Medicago truncatula: one gene and its partner. The protein of the gene in region 2 interacts with the protein of the main gene of each other region in a pairwise test. Links are inferred from orthologs where the notes say so. Each region holds a gene or a part of one and is shown on either strand. Other genes may lie near its edges.

The links. The genes of interacting proteins can lie anywhere in the genome.
Region 1: the proteins of polyadenylation and cleavage factor homolog 4 (region 2) and protein CLP1 homolog interact in a two-hybrid assay, tested with the Arabidopsis thaliana proteins (3 studies listed by BioGRID). The link is inferred for Medicago truncatula from reciprocal best matches to the Arabidopsis thaliana genes PCFS4 and CLPS3.

The regions. Positions count from the first base shown.
Region 1 is NC_053042.1:56,156,361-56,164,267, reverse strand, and holds the start of protein CLP1 homolog, read left to right. Parts: upstream 1-4,906; coding exon 4,907-5,116; intron 5,117-5,204; coding exon 5,205-5,273; intron 5,274-5,372; coding exon 5,373-5,468; intron 5,469-5,753; coding exon 5,754-5,995; intron 5,996-6,140; coding exon 6,141-6,279; intron 6,280-6,426; coding exon 6,427-6,483; intron 6,484-6,637; coding exon 6,638-6,772; intron 6,773-7,453; coding exon 7,454-7,689; intron 7,690-7,907. UniProt on the Arabidopsis thaliana protein: Required for endonucleolytic cleavage during polyadenylation-dependent pre-mRNA 3'-end formation. Functions in gametophyte, embryo and postembryotic development.
Region 2 is NC_053047.1:3,170,358-3,178,165, reverse strand, and holds the start of polyadenylation and cleavage factor homolog 4, read right to left. Parts: upstream 3,015-7,808; 5' UTR 2,805-3,014; coding exon 2,541-2,804; intron 409-2,540; coding exon 307-408; intron 218-306; coding exon 1-217.

The sequences.
Region 1 (7,907 bases), on a different chromosome or scaffold from region 2:
TTGTTAAGGGAGTTGGCCCCTATTGTATGGCATTGTTTCCCCTTGAAGAACATTTTAGTATGCATGTTTGTCAAATTTCAAATCATCGGCTGATTAGCGCGTAAAGGATGGATAGTATCCGTGGTTGCTCTCTTGCATAACCGTCAATATTTTCATTTTGAGCTCAATGAATGGTTACTCGAAAAAGGTGGAATATTATTTCATGATTGCTTTCTTTCATTATTATTAGTCATTCCATACAAAATCCCGTAAGGAGAATTCGAACCCACATCACCGTAAGGTGGCAAATCTACGACATGCTAATAAAATGGTTGATGAAATAAGGTTGGTGGAAAATTATTTCAAGGTTTCGATCTCTTATAAAGAACACATCATATAACCATCAAGTAGTCGTGTATGCATACCAGAGTCCAAATCCTTATAAAGAACATATTATTGATTGAGGGCATGCAAAGTTGCGCCATAAGTCAGAACATTTGACATGACTAACGACCTTCCACTTTGTTCTAATGCATTGTCAACCATGTCTTTCGACGCCATTTTCCCCTCAAGACAGGTAGTAGCAAACATATTCGGCGACATCTTTGGTGAAAACCTTGCTTGAATATAATTTGGTTGAACTTGTGATAAAAGTTCTGCCTAAACAACATTTGGTTGAACCTATGGTAAAGGGTTATGCCTTAACACATGCTTGCATTTGTTGTGGTACCAAAAATGTGAATAGGGTGTTCACCTTCATGGTCTCATTGGGCATGCCATTTGTTGTTGTCGTGCAAAATTCGATGCTGCCAAATGGTTGTGTGATTATCCGATGTCATAATAACTTGGTTGATTTATCGATTCCTCAATTTATAAGATGATATGTGGGTTTATTTTCACGTGAGACGATGATTCCCTTTTTTGTCAAGTGATTGTGTTGAGAAAGGGCTTTGTTTCTTAGATGTGGGTTCATATACTGCTATAAAGAGCGTTTAGTTTTGAAGGATGAACTACCACCTAAGAATGCATAAAAAAAAAAGTAAAAGAAAATGATAAAGGAATGATAAAAAAAAAAAAGGTGTAAAGACTTGTTTGATGTGATGTATCTTGAATAATCTTTGCGATGAGTAGTTATACACTTAGAATAACTAAGCAACTTATGCTAACATTGTTTACCATGTTTTTGAATGACTATCTATCATATTATATCATGTAAGATCATGGCTAACATCACTAATATAAGTAACCAGGGGCGGATCTTTCCAGGGACCCCTGACAATCATGGTACCCCCAAGTTTTCTATATATATTAGATTAGGCATAATCTATACACTAGTACTCAGTAGGCGCAGTAGAAATGATGTTTGTTTTTCCCTTAGAGGTCGCGTGTTCGACCCTTCCAACTGCTTTCTTTTATATTTCTGTTCAATTTTTACTATTTTGTTAAAAAAAAATGGCTCTTATAGGGATTCAAACTGGCACCCCTGCTCTGCATTCAAGCAAAACAAACCATTGGACTAGTTAACAATTATATCCTTTTCTTCAAACAACTTAATATATATTTCATACAATTCTAACACCCTCAAAAAAATATTTCAAGATCCGCCACGGTAAATAACTACCTCGTGGATTGAATTACAACTTAAAATGGTATTGTTCGCATAGTTATATTATCCATGTCATCCATCACCTTATTATTAAGGGAGTAAATCTTCATGAATGTTTGAACTTAGTCGGCCACAATTATCCATGACATCTTGTTCATATTGTTGAGTTGAAGGGAAAATTGTACTTTGTACGACTAGCTATTTGGTTGACATCTACCCGTGTTCACCACAATTATATTTTTTAGATAGTGGATGTTTGACCATGGTTTGCCATTGAATTTGACATTGGGATAAGTTTTATATGTATTTTTTCCTTTAACCACTTTATTTACCATGCCACATATGTAGGAAAATTGTCGTATGGTCTTTGAACTTGATCAAAACTATGTTGCATCCTTTTAGAATACCATTACAAATTACCATCGGTTGATTGTCATGTAATGGTTATTCAATCAATTTAAATTTGGTATCTATGCTCGTCCTGTCTGCCACGAACCACGATTGCCATCGGTTGATTGTGTTGTCCTTGATATCTAAATCTTTTTAATCCATCCCAACGGGAAAAATATATATATGATTCGACTGTTCATTTTTATTTGCAGTAAATATCTTATAAATCGAGAAGTGTTTACAACAATAATAATGAGTCATTGGACTAAAAAATAATAACGAGTTATTGTTGCCTCCTTTATCGAAGATAAATCGCTAAGGTTAGGACTTCGTCCTGCTCATACAATCAATTACTTAGAGTAATAAAAGGACTATTAACATATTTATAGAGTGTGTTCCCTAAAAAAAAAATATATATATAGTGTGAAAGCGACATCTAACTTTCACTATGTTCAAGAGTGTTAATTTTTTTTTTAAGGTTTAAATAGTTTTTTGTCCATGCAAATATAAGTTATTTAAATTTTCGTCCATAAAGTTATTAATCCTTCCAATCTGCCACTGCAACTATTAATCATTTGAAAAATGGTCATAATTACATCTGATTAGTAACTTTAGGGATGAAAATTCAAATGACCTATTTTTGCAGGGACGAAATACCTATTTAAGCCAACTACCTCATTCAATCATCATTTGTCACATGGGCACCACGTCACTAATGACAACCCACCTCAACAAAAAAACCTACTTATGACCAGAAGTCAAATATTAATATTTGCAGTGGCAGATTGGAATGATTGATAACTTCATGGACGAAAAGTCAAATGACCTATATTTGCATGGGCGAAAGACTTATTTAAGCTTTTTTTAATAACACATCTATTAATAAATTAGTCAAAAGTAGCAAATAATTAAAACAATGCAATCATGAGTTGTTCGTGATTTTAGTCTCAAATATTTGAGCGAACTTTAACACATGAAAAATGAGAAAGAATGTATTCATAAGTATTAATCAATACACTAGAATCATGAAGAGAATCAATGAAAAAAAGATTACATTGAAATTATGAGAACTAAGTATTGCATTGTTGATCTCTTATTGAACAACCAGATAGTAAACTTTGTTGATATAGGAAAGAGAATCAATGAACAAAACTTGAGTTTTAACTATAGAAAATTACTTATTCAGACCACTCAAGAGTTGAATGATTTGATCTTCACTCTAATAGTTGCAAGCAACATGCATAGCTCTATAACTACATAGATCAGGGCAATTGCAATTAGACATAGGTATGTGAGAGTTCGTCTGTGTGAAATAATCCAAAATGGGTTTCGATTATTGCCTGAGATTATTAATCGCGAAACATAAAGAGGATATATGAATCCTGTCATTTTTTGAAAACCATTTTCTGAGGTCTTCCAACACAAAAATAACATTGGAAAATTATAGTTTGTACAATGAATTTAGAAAAATGATTGATAGAGCATGAAAGAATAAGGGGATTACATTGTTCTCACGCACCTCGATTCAAGTCAAATTGGTTAGGTATAGGAACACATTCATCAAGGAACCATTAATGAGTTCAGGGGCGGATCTCTTTGGGGGCAGGCAAGTGTCATGGTATCCCCCAAAGTTTCCTTATATACTATATTAGGAGTATAATATCAATTTGAATTGAGCTGCTGCAGTGGAAAGAGGAACCGTGAATTGTTATAGTTCAACACTTTGCCATCTTTTTTTTACTTGTTTAATCTTCTATTATAGCATATTGTATTTAAAAAAAAAACATTTTGAGGGGATTCAAACCCACTTCCTCTTGTTCTTTTAAAACATTTTATACCACTTGGCCAGCAATTAATTATTGATAATACTTTAAACCAGTTAATATATATTCCATAAAAGTTTGGCACCCCCAACAAATTAACTCAAAATCCGTCACTGAATGAGTTATTCATGATTTACAACCGTTTTATATTTTTAACATATATAATATTAATTTTTACCTGACATGCATGACTCCTACAATCATATTTAAGATATGAAAAATGAGATGAAATATATTATTTTACAAGATATATTGGTGGTGCAATGTGTATGTACAATTGATTGGTTGAAATGCATGACTTCATGACATTTCTTATATTCAATTTTTTTTTTTAATTTAAAATTAATGATACGTTTAATTTTATCATTTTCTAATTATTATTTGCATCACTTAAGTTCTGAATAAAACGTAATATTCTAAATTAAAAATTAAATTATAGATCAAATATCTAAGTTTATGTTTAATTTGAATAGTATTTATTATGTTTTATTCACCCCGGTTAAATTTCATATTACAATATTTTTTTTTTTCACTTGAGAATCGGATGCATATGTATGAGATGAGATTATATAAGATCGAAGCTTAAATTTCTATCAAACTTTTAAAACTTACAATATTAGTACCATAACATTGAAAAAGAACCAAAAATTAAATTCAAAAAGACAAATATAATTTTTTTTAAATATTTAAATGAAATAACAAAACATAATATCAATAATATAAAAGAATTGGAGGTAATTGACATGTCAAAACTGATAAAATTATTTATTAAATCTATAAGTTATTTAACTAAAAAAATGTTTTGTCCTATATTTTCTTTTTAAGGTGGATTTTAGGGCAAGGGTACGGAGTATAAAAAAAGAAGTAAAAAAATATGGAGTTCTTTGGTACTCAAACAAAATTGAATTGGTATAAAATCTTTGCGCTTCTCAACTAAAAGCTTCACATCTGTTGTCGGGAACCAAAAGCTCCACCGTCGTGGCCCGTCGCACTTCCGCGAAGCCCTATCATTCTCCTACTTATCTATTACTTTCAACAGAACCTTTTTCCATTCCCTATCTCCGCCGCCTCCACAAACCCTAGTCTTTCACATTCTCACCCGTTCAAAATGGCGTATGGCGGTGCAGGTCCCGCTGTTACTAGTTCAAATTCGACACCGACAATTAAGCAAGTGAAATTGGAAAAAGAATGCGAATTGAGAATTGAAGTCTCCGACTCACCTCTTCGTCTTCGACTCCTTAATGGAAACGCTGAGATTTTTGGTACCGAGCTTCCACCTGAAATCTGGCTCAATTTTCCTCCTAGACTCAAGTTCGCCGTAACTCTTCTATTCCCTTCCATCCTCTTTTATAACAATTTTCATATTTTCTGCTAGATTCATTAACATATCATTTTCTTCATGTTAGGTTTTTACTTGGTATGGTGCTACCATTGAAATGGATGGTACTCCTGAAACTGGTTATACTGCGGATGAGGTAAATCACTTTGAGATTATTGCTTTCAATCTTTCTATCAAACCCACTCATGGAGGGAGGATATTGCAACTTCTTTTTTTTTTTTTTTTTGAATTGCAGACACCAATGGTTAGTTATGTAAATGTGCATGCTATTTTAGAAGGAAGAAGAGATCGCGCTAAGAAATCACCTTCAGACGACTCTGTATTATCTCAGGTAATTTTATCGTGTTTTGTGATTAGGAGATTGGATGCTTCATGTATGTGTTGGTGCTGATTGTTTTTTCGTGTATGGCTTTTATTTTGCACTGTAGGTATATCTTTTTGAAGTTTTATTTTTTATGGTTTATTATTATTATTATTATTATTACGGGTTTCAAAATTTGAGCGTTTATTATAAATTGCTGTGTTTGGAAGAATGAAATTTGTGATTCCTTTGAGGTGTATGATGTATAGCTTGTTGTAGTATGTGAATTAAGTATCAAATGATTTGATTGGTCAGGGTCCTAGGGTGATTGTTGTTGGACCTTCAGATTCTGGAAAGACTACCTTGTCAAGGATGCTTCTTAGTTGGGCAGCTAAACAAGGTTGGAAGCCCACCTTTGTTGACTTGGATATTGGCCAAGGGTCTATAACAGTTCCTGGATGCATTGCTGCCACTCCAATTGAAATGCCCATCGATCCGGTGGAGGGAATTCCTCTTGAAATGCCTCTTGTTTACTTTTATGGACACACATCTCCAAGGTAATTAGAGCTGTAATTCCTATCATATTTTCAACTATTAATTGGCAAAATCACATGAACACACATTCATTTGAAGTTATAAAAAATCATTAACAGCACACCGAAGGAAATGAAAATACAATCACCAAATAATTCTTTTTTTCAGTAATAATGTAGAATTGTATAAAGTGCTTGTCAAGGAGCTCGCGGGGATACTGGAGAGACAATTTGCTGGCAATGCTGAGTCCAGAGCTGCTGGAATGGTGTTAAATACCATGGGATGGATAGAAGGACTGGGCTATGATGTAATTAACCTTTTGAACCTTAAATTATTGTTGAATTGAACACTGCTGAAACACAGAATGTACTGCTAATTCTGATTACTAGATCTTGATTATGGTGGTCTTTTTCTCCCATCTCTTACTCGTTCTTTTGGTTGTATTTTATTGCAGATGCTATTGCATGCAATCCGTACATTCAAGGCCAATGTTGTTTTGGTTTTGGGCCAGGTAGATGGTAGCCTTATCTACTATGCATCACACTTCCCCATAACTAATACCTTGATTTTTCACTCAAAATAAATGAATCTTCCTTGGGAGGTGCTCTGTATATTATAATTTTTTGTAAACTCAGTCTCAGGCTTTCCGTTTGAACTCCTTATAGGAAAAACTGTGCAGTTTGCTCAGAGACGTGCTTAAGGGTGAGCCTAAAGTAGATGTTGTGAAACTTCAGAGGTCGGGTGGAGTTGTATCTAGGCCTGTGAAGTTCCGTCAGAGGTCCAGAAGTAATAGGATAAGGGTAATCCTACTTTTCCACTTTTCAATATTTTCTGCATGTTGAAAAAATCTCATTTGTCTTCTTTTTTTTTTTTTTTTCATTTTAGAGGACTTTGATTGTTAAATGTTAGTTAAATGGGCAAGTGGTAACCACGGTGGGGTTTAGGGAAGGTTTGAGCCCATTGAGGTTCTATTGTAAAAAAAACTTACATAGCATTTGCAAAAGGCCTATTACACGACTGGAACCCGTGACCTCATAATCCCATGATTCCACTTCAACATATTAAATGTTAATTGTTCTGGCTTAGCCAAGCAGTTAATTGCAGTTAATGAGAAAAGAATGATTTTTCTATGAGAAATAGGTAGAATTAAGTATTGGGTTGTGTATTAGAAAATTGTAACCAAAAAAACATAAAATTTTAGTGAAGGGAAATAGTTCTTTTGAAAATAGTAGGATCCTTTGCATTTATCAGCACTGTTAAAAACCTTGTAACTTGTAAGCACATATTTGTTTGGATATAAAACTGCATTGCCCAAAGATTGCTTCTGGATATTTTGCTTGTAGCTTTGGCCTTTGGGTTAGTTTTTTTTTTATTTTTTTCTCCCTGCTCCTTGGGCATTCCTAACATTCACTTAATTGTCTTGCCTGTTCCAACTATTTTGTAACTCTAATTAAAATTGCTGCTATTTGATTTTGACGCAGGAATACTTTTATGGTCTTACAAATGATCTTTCTCCTCATTCGAATATTTCAAATTTTGGTGACTTGTTTGTTTATCGAGTTGGTGGTGGGCCACAAGCTCCACGCTCAGCGTTGCCAATTGGAGCAGAACCTGCTGCAGATCCAACGAGAGTTGTAGCTGTGAATATAAATCGAGATTTGCTCCATGCAGTCCTTGCTGTCTCATTTGCCAAGGAACCTGATGAGATCATTTCAAGGTAACTATGATTTGGATCGAGCAATTAATTATCCAAATCTTAATACTCGTTTAAGGTTTAATTTTTTATACAGCCCGATGATAGTGTTTGATCCCTATATTATTTGTTGTTGCTTCGGAAGTATCACACTTCATAATGTCAAGTGTAGGCCAACAAAGAAAAGAACAAGTGTATTGGCCCATGAGGTAACCTCTGTTGATTAGTTAAAAACAGTTGGT
Region 2 (7,808 bases):
TTGGGTTAACATGTATCCCATGAGTTGGTCGAGGAGATTCAGAAGCCCTAAGGGAATTAACGCCTGATGGTTGATTATTAACTGGTTTAGAAAATTGCAATTCCACGTCAATCTTCCGTAAGACAGAAGGAGGGAAGACTTTTGACCAGGTACCAAAGAGATGTCGCATAGCAGAATGTAAACTTGGATCAACTTGTCTGTATGCCACGCAGAAAACCTAGGCAGACAATAGAACTATAAGTTTCAATAACAGAATTAAATCATTTAAGAATTCAATCAAATTACAATAAACTCGAAATGACCTACTTCGGGTAGACGCTGCGAGAAGTATCGAACATATTCCTGGCCAACATTCTTCACAATACTGTCCAAGAGATAGAGTGAAGGTAGCTTTTGATCTGCAGACACCTGAAAAAAAATAAACAATTGGAGACGATACAAACAGCGGAGATTCGAATAATAATAGAGACGTTGATTTTACACTACAAACTATTAACTAGATAGTAAATGAAAAAATAGAAAAGAAAAAGGAATCACTCTCCAGTCTCCACACTAAACTTAGTGGCATGTCAGTGACAACATTTTGCATGATGAGTTATGTGTTCTGGACAACTATAAAATGATTTACTGCACAGTTATTTACCGAATTCTTTAACCAATTCTTACAAAGTTTCCATTTCAGAGAAGAGATTAGTGACAATTAATCTCAAAAATCAAAATTGATACGGGGTTAGGTTAAGAACCAATACTTCTGTAAGAGTCCCTGTATGATTTTTCCAACAAAGAATCAAACTTATTTCTCATTGGTACGAGCAAACTACGCCCATATAAACTTAGAAGAGGCATCAGTATCATAATTAAACAATTTTATTATTCTGCCTCTGAAATCACCAATGTTGACAAAGATAAAGCAAACTATGTACTAGTTACTTTGTATACTTTGTATGAAATGATAAAAGTGTGTGTTACGTAGTAAGAGGGTTGAAAATTGGCATTATAGGTATTCATAGAAAATGATAAGTGGTGATGAAGCTTGGGAGAGAACGCAAACTGGTAAGAATACGATAGGTTATTCTGAAATGCAAAAGTGATGAAATGAATATACACAGAATCAAGATATATAATAGATAGAATTCTATCAAATTGACCTAACTGTCAGGTAGATGACATGACACCAGCAACCCAACAATCTTCTAGCATAAGCTACTAGTAATACACAACCTTGGTTAATAGCTTGTCTAAAAACAATAACAGCAAATATACTACGCTATAAATATAGCTAAAAAATAACATATTAACATAGGCATGAAATATATATGAAGTAAGCTGGATTATCAATAGTCTAATATGTGTGATACATGACTGCAAGACTAACAATATACTTAACCTAATATTTACTCCAAGCAAGTATATGCTAATGTTCCAAAATCATTCAATTTAATCAGAAAATTGTTTAACATTCAATTGCAGCCATGTTCTTTCTCATATATTTCTACTACAAGCAACCTAAAACACAGGTAACTCAGATAACACGCACGCACGCACAAAAACTCACAGAAAAGAAAAGCTGTGAGGATTTGGAACACTGTATTCCAACTTGAGCAGGTCACCAAAAGACTTAATCATTTCAGCAAAAGCACAATAACGAATTCCCTTTTTTCAGATGAAATGCCTGCCTAAATCCTTTAAAAATTAAATATAGTATAGTATTTCCAGTGTTGTCAAATTGCCGCCATGGCAGTACGACATGGCAGATTTCGTGCAAGCCACTATCGTCCTCAATTCCTATTATATCCACCATAGGCCGTAAACCCCATTATTATTACACGAAATTATGTGCCCTGGCTTCTATAATCCACCATTGATACACTAAGTATTTCACTTTTATAGGTTCCGAAAATCGATTTTTAATTACTCAATTGTGTTAACGGTTAACTATACTTACTTGAATCTCTAAATTTTAGCATTTGTTAACAATGTTATCAATAACAAATCGCGGAAAACAGTGGTTTGTTCAAATTCCGCTATGCTACAGTGCTGCTATAGGACTAGTGCTGCTATTTGACAACACTTTAACTAAAAAGCTAATCGCAAAACGACGGTAGTTTGTTCAAATTCCGCTACACTACACCCGGTATTTGACAGCATCGTTCATTATTAGTTATAGTTATATAATAGTTATATACCATGTAATCCTTATTATTTTCAATTGCCCAGATGCTACTAATCGGTTTAACACAATCACAATTACATCAAAATCATTACTTTCAATTTCCAATTCCCAAATAAACAATTATTAATCAAATGAACAATTATTATAAATAAAAAAAAATCGCCAAAACTGTGAAACCCATCAAATGAAATGAACTAAAAATCGAAACTTTTTCCTATCGAATAGCAATAAACAAAATTCATAAAGTAAAAAACAAATAGAACAATGAAATAGACAACAATTGAATTAACAACAATGAAAACAACAATAACTCTTAATCTGAACAATGGTGTGGAATTTTACAAAAGGGGGTGTAAAAAACAAAAACCTCAACAATACGGTTGCAAATAGCAAAAGCGATTCCTTTAGCATGATTACGATGTTGTTCAGCAATGATAGTAAGATCAGTGATGATAGGTTTAACATTACACGTGAGTTCAGACAACAAAAGCTCGTAAATCTGAACAATTTCTTCTGTTGAAGGTTGCGAATTTCTCAACCTAGGATCTTCTTCACGACGTTGATTCAACAAAGCTTTGAATCGACCAACGAGGATTGATGGTGGAGGCTTTTGAACAATCTCATTGCTCATGGTGGGGTGTGAAATTGAGAAATTGGGAAAATTGAGAGAGAAATTAGGGTTAGGGTTTTGAATTTGGGGGAAAATGAAACATAAGGGTTTTGAAACGGTTTATATATGAGAAAGAGTTGTTGTTGTTTCAAAATGAATTCTTCAATTGTTCAAACGAAACGCAAAACGCAAAGAATGCATTTGATTGTGTATTTGTGAGTGATGAAGTAGATATATTTTCTTTAATATAAAAATTTAAATATTTTCTTACAAACTTTTACAAATTTCTTTTTCTTTTTTTTAAAGGTTTTGCAAAATTAAAAAAATGAAACTATTGTCATAGCATAGAATTAACATTTGTTTGTTAAATTAATATAATTAATTTTTGATAAAATGTTAACCGGTGCCCTTGGAGCACTGATTAAGGATACTAAAAAGGAAATTATACAGTAATTATTGCATTAAAAATTGTGTAATTAATCCACCAAAAATCAACATAGTTTTCTTTTTTTTGGTAATAATTCTCTTTTTTTTTTTAAGTTTAAGGGGCACCGGTTAGCATAACCCAAAAATAAAAAGTGTATGTGAGTCATTAGGATCACGAAGGATATCAAGAAATTTTCTCATTGATAACCAGAATCGAACACGGTCTTGTAAGTGAGTCAATTGTTTACCATTTAAATAAACTTTTTTTTTTGAAAGGATTTCAATAAACTTTTATTGGGTCAAAAAAAACTTATAATTAATAATATTCTTTCAGATTTAATTTGTATGCATCGTCAGTGTAAACTTATTTTACTCATATATTCAATGACGTATTGTCATATCAATTAATGAATATGAAAATACATGAATTATTATTTATATTCATTAATTGATGAAGTGGTAATGCATTGTTAAATACGTGTCTACATTTTTTTATTTTACTTTTGAATTTGGTCAAAACCAAATCTTTTGTATTTATTATTCTTCAATATTTTGTTTGAATTTGGTCAAATCTAAATCTTTAATATTTTATTTTTATTTTTGTAAATTATTCTTTAGTTTTTTTTATGAATAGAATATTTAGTTATCAAAAAAATTATATTCTTTAATACTTATGTTTTACTAATTTTCTTGTAGTCCAAAAATTTATAGTTTTTAATGTTTTGCTAATTTTCTTATCTTATCTTATAGAAAAGACTACTAGCTTTTCTATCTTTTTTGTCGGCGTCAACAATCGGAAGAAAAAAAAAACTTGTATTTTTTACACTAAAAATGAAAGAGAAGTATCATAAGTAGGCATGGCAACAAAACTTATATAAAGGGAAACTCAAACCTTAAATTATTTTACTCACACAGTCAGAGTATCAGTCTCGACACTCACTTATCATAGTTCTCTTTTTTTCTCTTTTCAAATCTCACACTTTCGGCCTCTCTCTTCTCAATCACCATAGTCATCTATCATCATCATCATCATCTCTTTGTTGGATTGTGATCGGGGCTGGAAAATATTTTATTTATATTATAAAAAAATATTATCCACTGCGGGGATGAGATGGGTCGAGGATACCCGAACCCGCGAGGATGGGGATGAGATTCGATTTCGCATCTCCGTTGGATATGGATAGGATAACAAGTAAGTATATGAGAGTAGGGTATGGGGACGTGGAAGATAAAACATGTCCCCACCCCCGCCCCATTGTCATGCCTAATCGTAAGTATAACTCAAACGCTAGTTGTAAAGATGTTTGGTATTACATAAGTGAATTTGAAATAGAATTCTTCACTTTTCAATATTTAGTATTTGTGTAAGTTTTGTCGTTAGAATCTTTAGAACAATAAAAATGAAGAAATAAGCTAAAGAGTAAATTACAACACACTATCCAGAGATACACTTGAATTACAGTTTTTTATCCTCTTTTGTTAAAATATGCATTGCTATCCCTTGAAAAGTAAATGTCTAGAACAAATTACAAATTATACTCTTTTTCTTTAAGAGATGCTTGTATGTTTATTTTTCTGTGTACCCGCGAGTTTGTTGTGCGCCTTGCATACTCTCGATGTGAATAATATTAGCCGTTTCAAAAAATAAGTAAACATGTTTTTTTGAGAGTTAAACATGCATTAAACTTTAGCCCATTTTTCTGGTAGATAAGTGAAACAATAAATAACCATGAAACTCTCATACATAAGTAGAGGGAGTTCGAACCTCAAATACAACGTCTAACTTGATACGGGGTTATGTTGAGAACCAATACTTTATAAGTCTTTATTATACTATATGACAAAAAAACCTTTGTTTTAATTAGAAGTCTTTATTATACTTTCTTTCCATGAGTTTTTATAAAATTGGAGTTAAAATGCGAACATTGGATGTTACTATGTGTACATTCCCATTCCTCTAAAAAAAAAATGCATATTTCATTCATATCTATTTTTAACTATGAAACTTAATTACCACCAAAAACTATATCTTGTCTCATTCTAATTATTTGATAATTCACCGATATTCTACCATTTTGTGTCTTTTTCCCTTTCAACTTCCCTCTGTTATCTCTATGTTTACAATTTGAATTTTCATAAAAAAAAAATGTCAATTAAAACAAATTTCCCCGTAATAGCTCAAATAACAAGACATTGTGTAAGTTACAAATCATTTCTTACTTTTAAGACATATAATCCTTGTAACTTAATGAATGGACATCTTTGTCACTTGATAATATTTTTCATCAGACACTTTTTTTGTCAGGTAGTTTAGTGGTTAGAATTCACCTTTTTTAAGGTGAATAAGTGTGATTTAAACCCTGACCTCTACATATAACAATATATTTCTCTGCCAACTGAGTTATGCCCACGTGGATTCATCATCCACTTTTTAATATTTAATAACAACTATTCTAATTTATCGGAGGAAAATATTTCCATGTTTTTATCATTAATGTCATATTTATCATTAAAAAAATTATGTTTTTTATTTCTCAATGCAACTAATATTGTTAATGTGTTTTGGCGCACAACTCGTTCTTCAAAGACTAATATTTGTTTGAAGAAGTTAAATTAGTCCACTCAAAGACTAATATGATATTAGTTGTTTTTAAAAGATTACATCAAACCAACATACAAAAAATAAGATTCTACCACTCCTTTTGTTTCCTTTCGGTGGTTAAAGGCGTGTAGGTCAACCTGTTCTTTTAGCTATCATGACTGGTGGAGACATCCTCTACTTTGCATGAGAGTTTTACAATAACTTTGTTGTTCTTCTTCTGTTTTTATTTTGGTCTATTTGCTTTTTGTTTTCTGTGGCAGCAGTGACCTGTCTTGTACAAACTTTACGTGGTTCTCTTTTGCATGCCTTGTACGAAATGAACCACTCCTTTTGATTTAATTAATTCCATTTTGGCTTGTTAAAAAAAAAGATTATTTCATTTTAAGTAAAAGAAACCTATGAAAAACTGAAAACAACAACAACACTCATATGATAAACTTCTTTATATGCATTATGTAAAACTTAAAAAATACGGTTTGAACAATTATTAAAATGAGACACGTTTGAATAAGAACAATCAGTCTCAACTTTGGTTTTTGATTTAAAACAATATTAACATTGATGGATGACTGATTTCGATGACAAGAAATTAATATTTGTAGTTTCGTTTAATTGATGTGGTTCTCTTTAAATAGGTTTATAAACCAAATTTGTTCTTTTTTTGTTTTCCAGGCAGCACCTCTATAATTCTAGGTTAACTATTTACACCTAAAACCCTCCATCTGCAATGGGTGAAGGAGGCAATTGCTTGTCTGTCTTATATTCGATAATGCATATAAATTATGAACATTTGTTTTTATGAAATTTTAATTAAAATTATGAGTATACAGAATAGATATTTCGTACTCTCAGATTGTAATAAATTATACCTATCTTTTTTAATGATGCCGACAACATAGAATTTTACGATCTTTTCTCATGAAATTTAGAGCAAACTCAATCGATCAACAAGTTGGTTTAGTTTGACTCAATCAAGATGACATCGGTAGAACTTTAAGAAACTTATGTTAAAAAATCTATAAAAAAAATAAAATTTAAACACTAGATTTTTTGTAGTATTTTTTTTTTGGTGGTCGGGATTTGAATCATGGACCTTGCATATATTATCCATTGTGCATACCAACTAAGTTAAGCTCACGATAACATTAGCTACAATGAAAAATTATATGATTAAAAAGATACATCAATGCATCATTTTTTAAGGTAAACCTCTTTATACGGTGTAAAATAAAAAATTAGTATTAGCAGATCAATAATTCACTTAATTATAGTCTCGATTCGACATTGGTTGATTTCTCATCTTAATACGACGTTGTTTGATTTTCAATCATAATGTGATGTTTGTTTGATTCATATTAACCTATCAATTTAAATTAACTAATATTGTTTCTTTTACCCAAAAAAAACACAATAATTTAAGGTTTATTAGTCTCTGGCCCAATCTATACTGGAAAACAAAACACTAATTTGTTTGACATCTTATTTTGGAAGCTCTAAGCCTGCAAAGTCATCTTATAATGTTTCCAATATTACTAATAGATCTATAGAATTTTTGGTAAGAATAGATCTAATCATCTATAGCATAATTTTCAAACATATTAAATGAAGACAACCATGTATGATCATGATTTCTAAGATTTTCTGCAGGCAAATTGGCATATTTCTTTCCATCTTAAGAATGAAAAACCAAGAAAAATATGAGACCTATTGGCAATGTCTCCTACCAAAACACATTTGAAAACGTGCTTCCAACCCATTTTTGTGAGAAATATGCCAACAAAGCAAAGGAATTTTGTCGTCACTAACATATTGGTGCATTTTTTCTTGTTACAAAAATAATGCTTACCAATAATAGAACTATTGATACAAAATGTCAACAATTATTATGTTTTGGTCAAACTAGTCATAATTTTTTTTTCTAGCAATTACAGCTATTTCTATCTCATCAATTTTGTCATTTTTAAAATATCGTTTATCTCATATGTATATTTTATAAT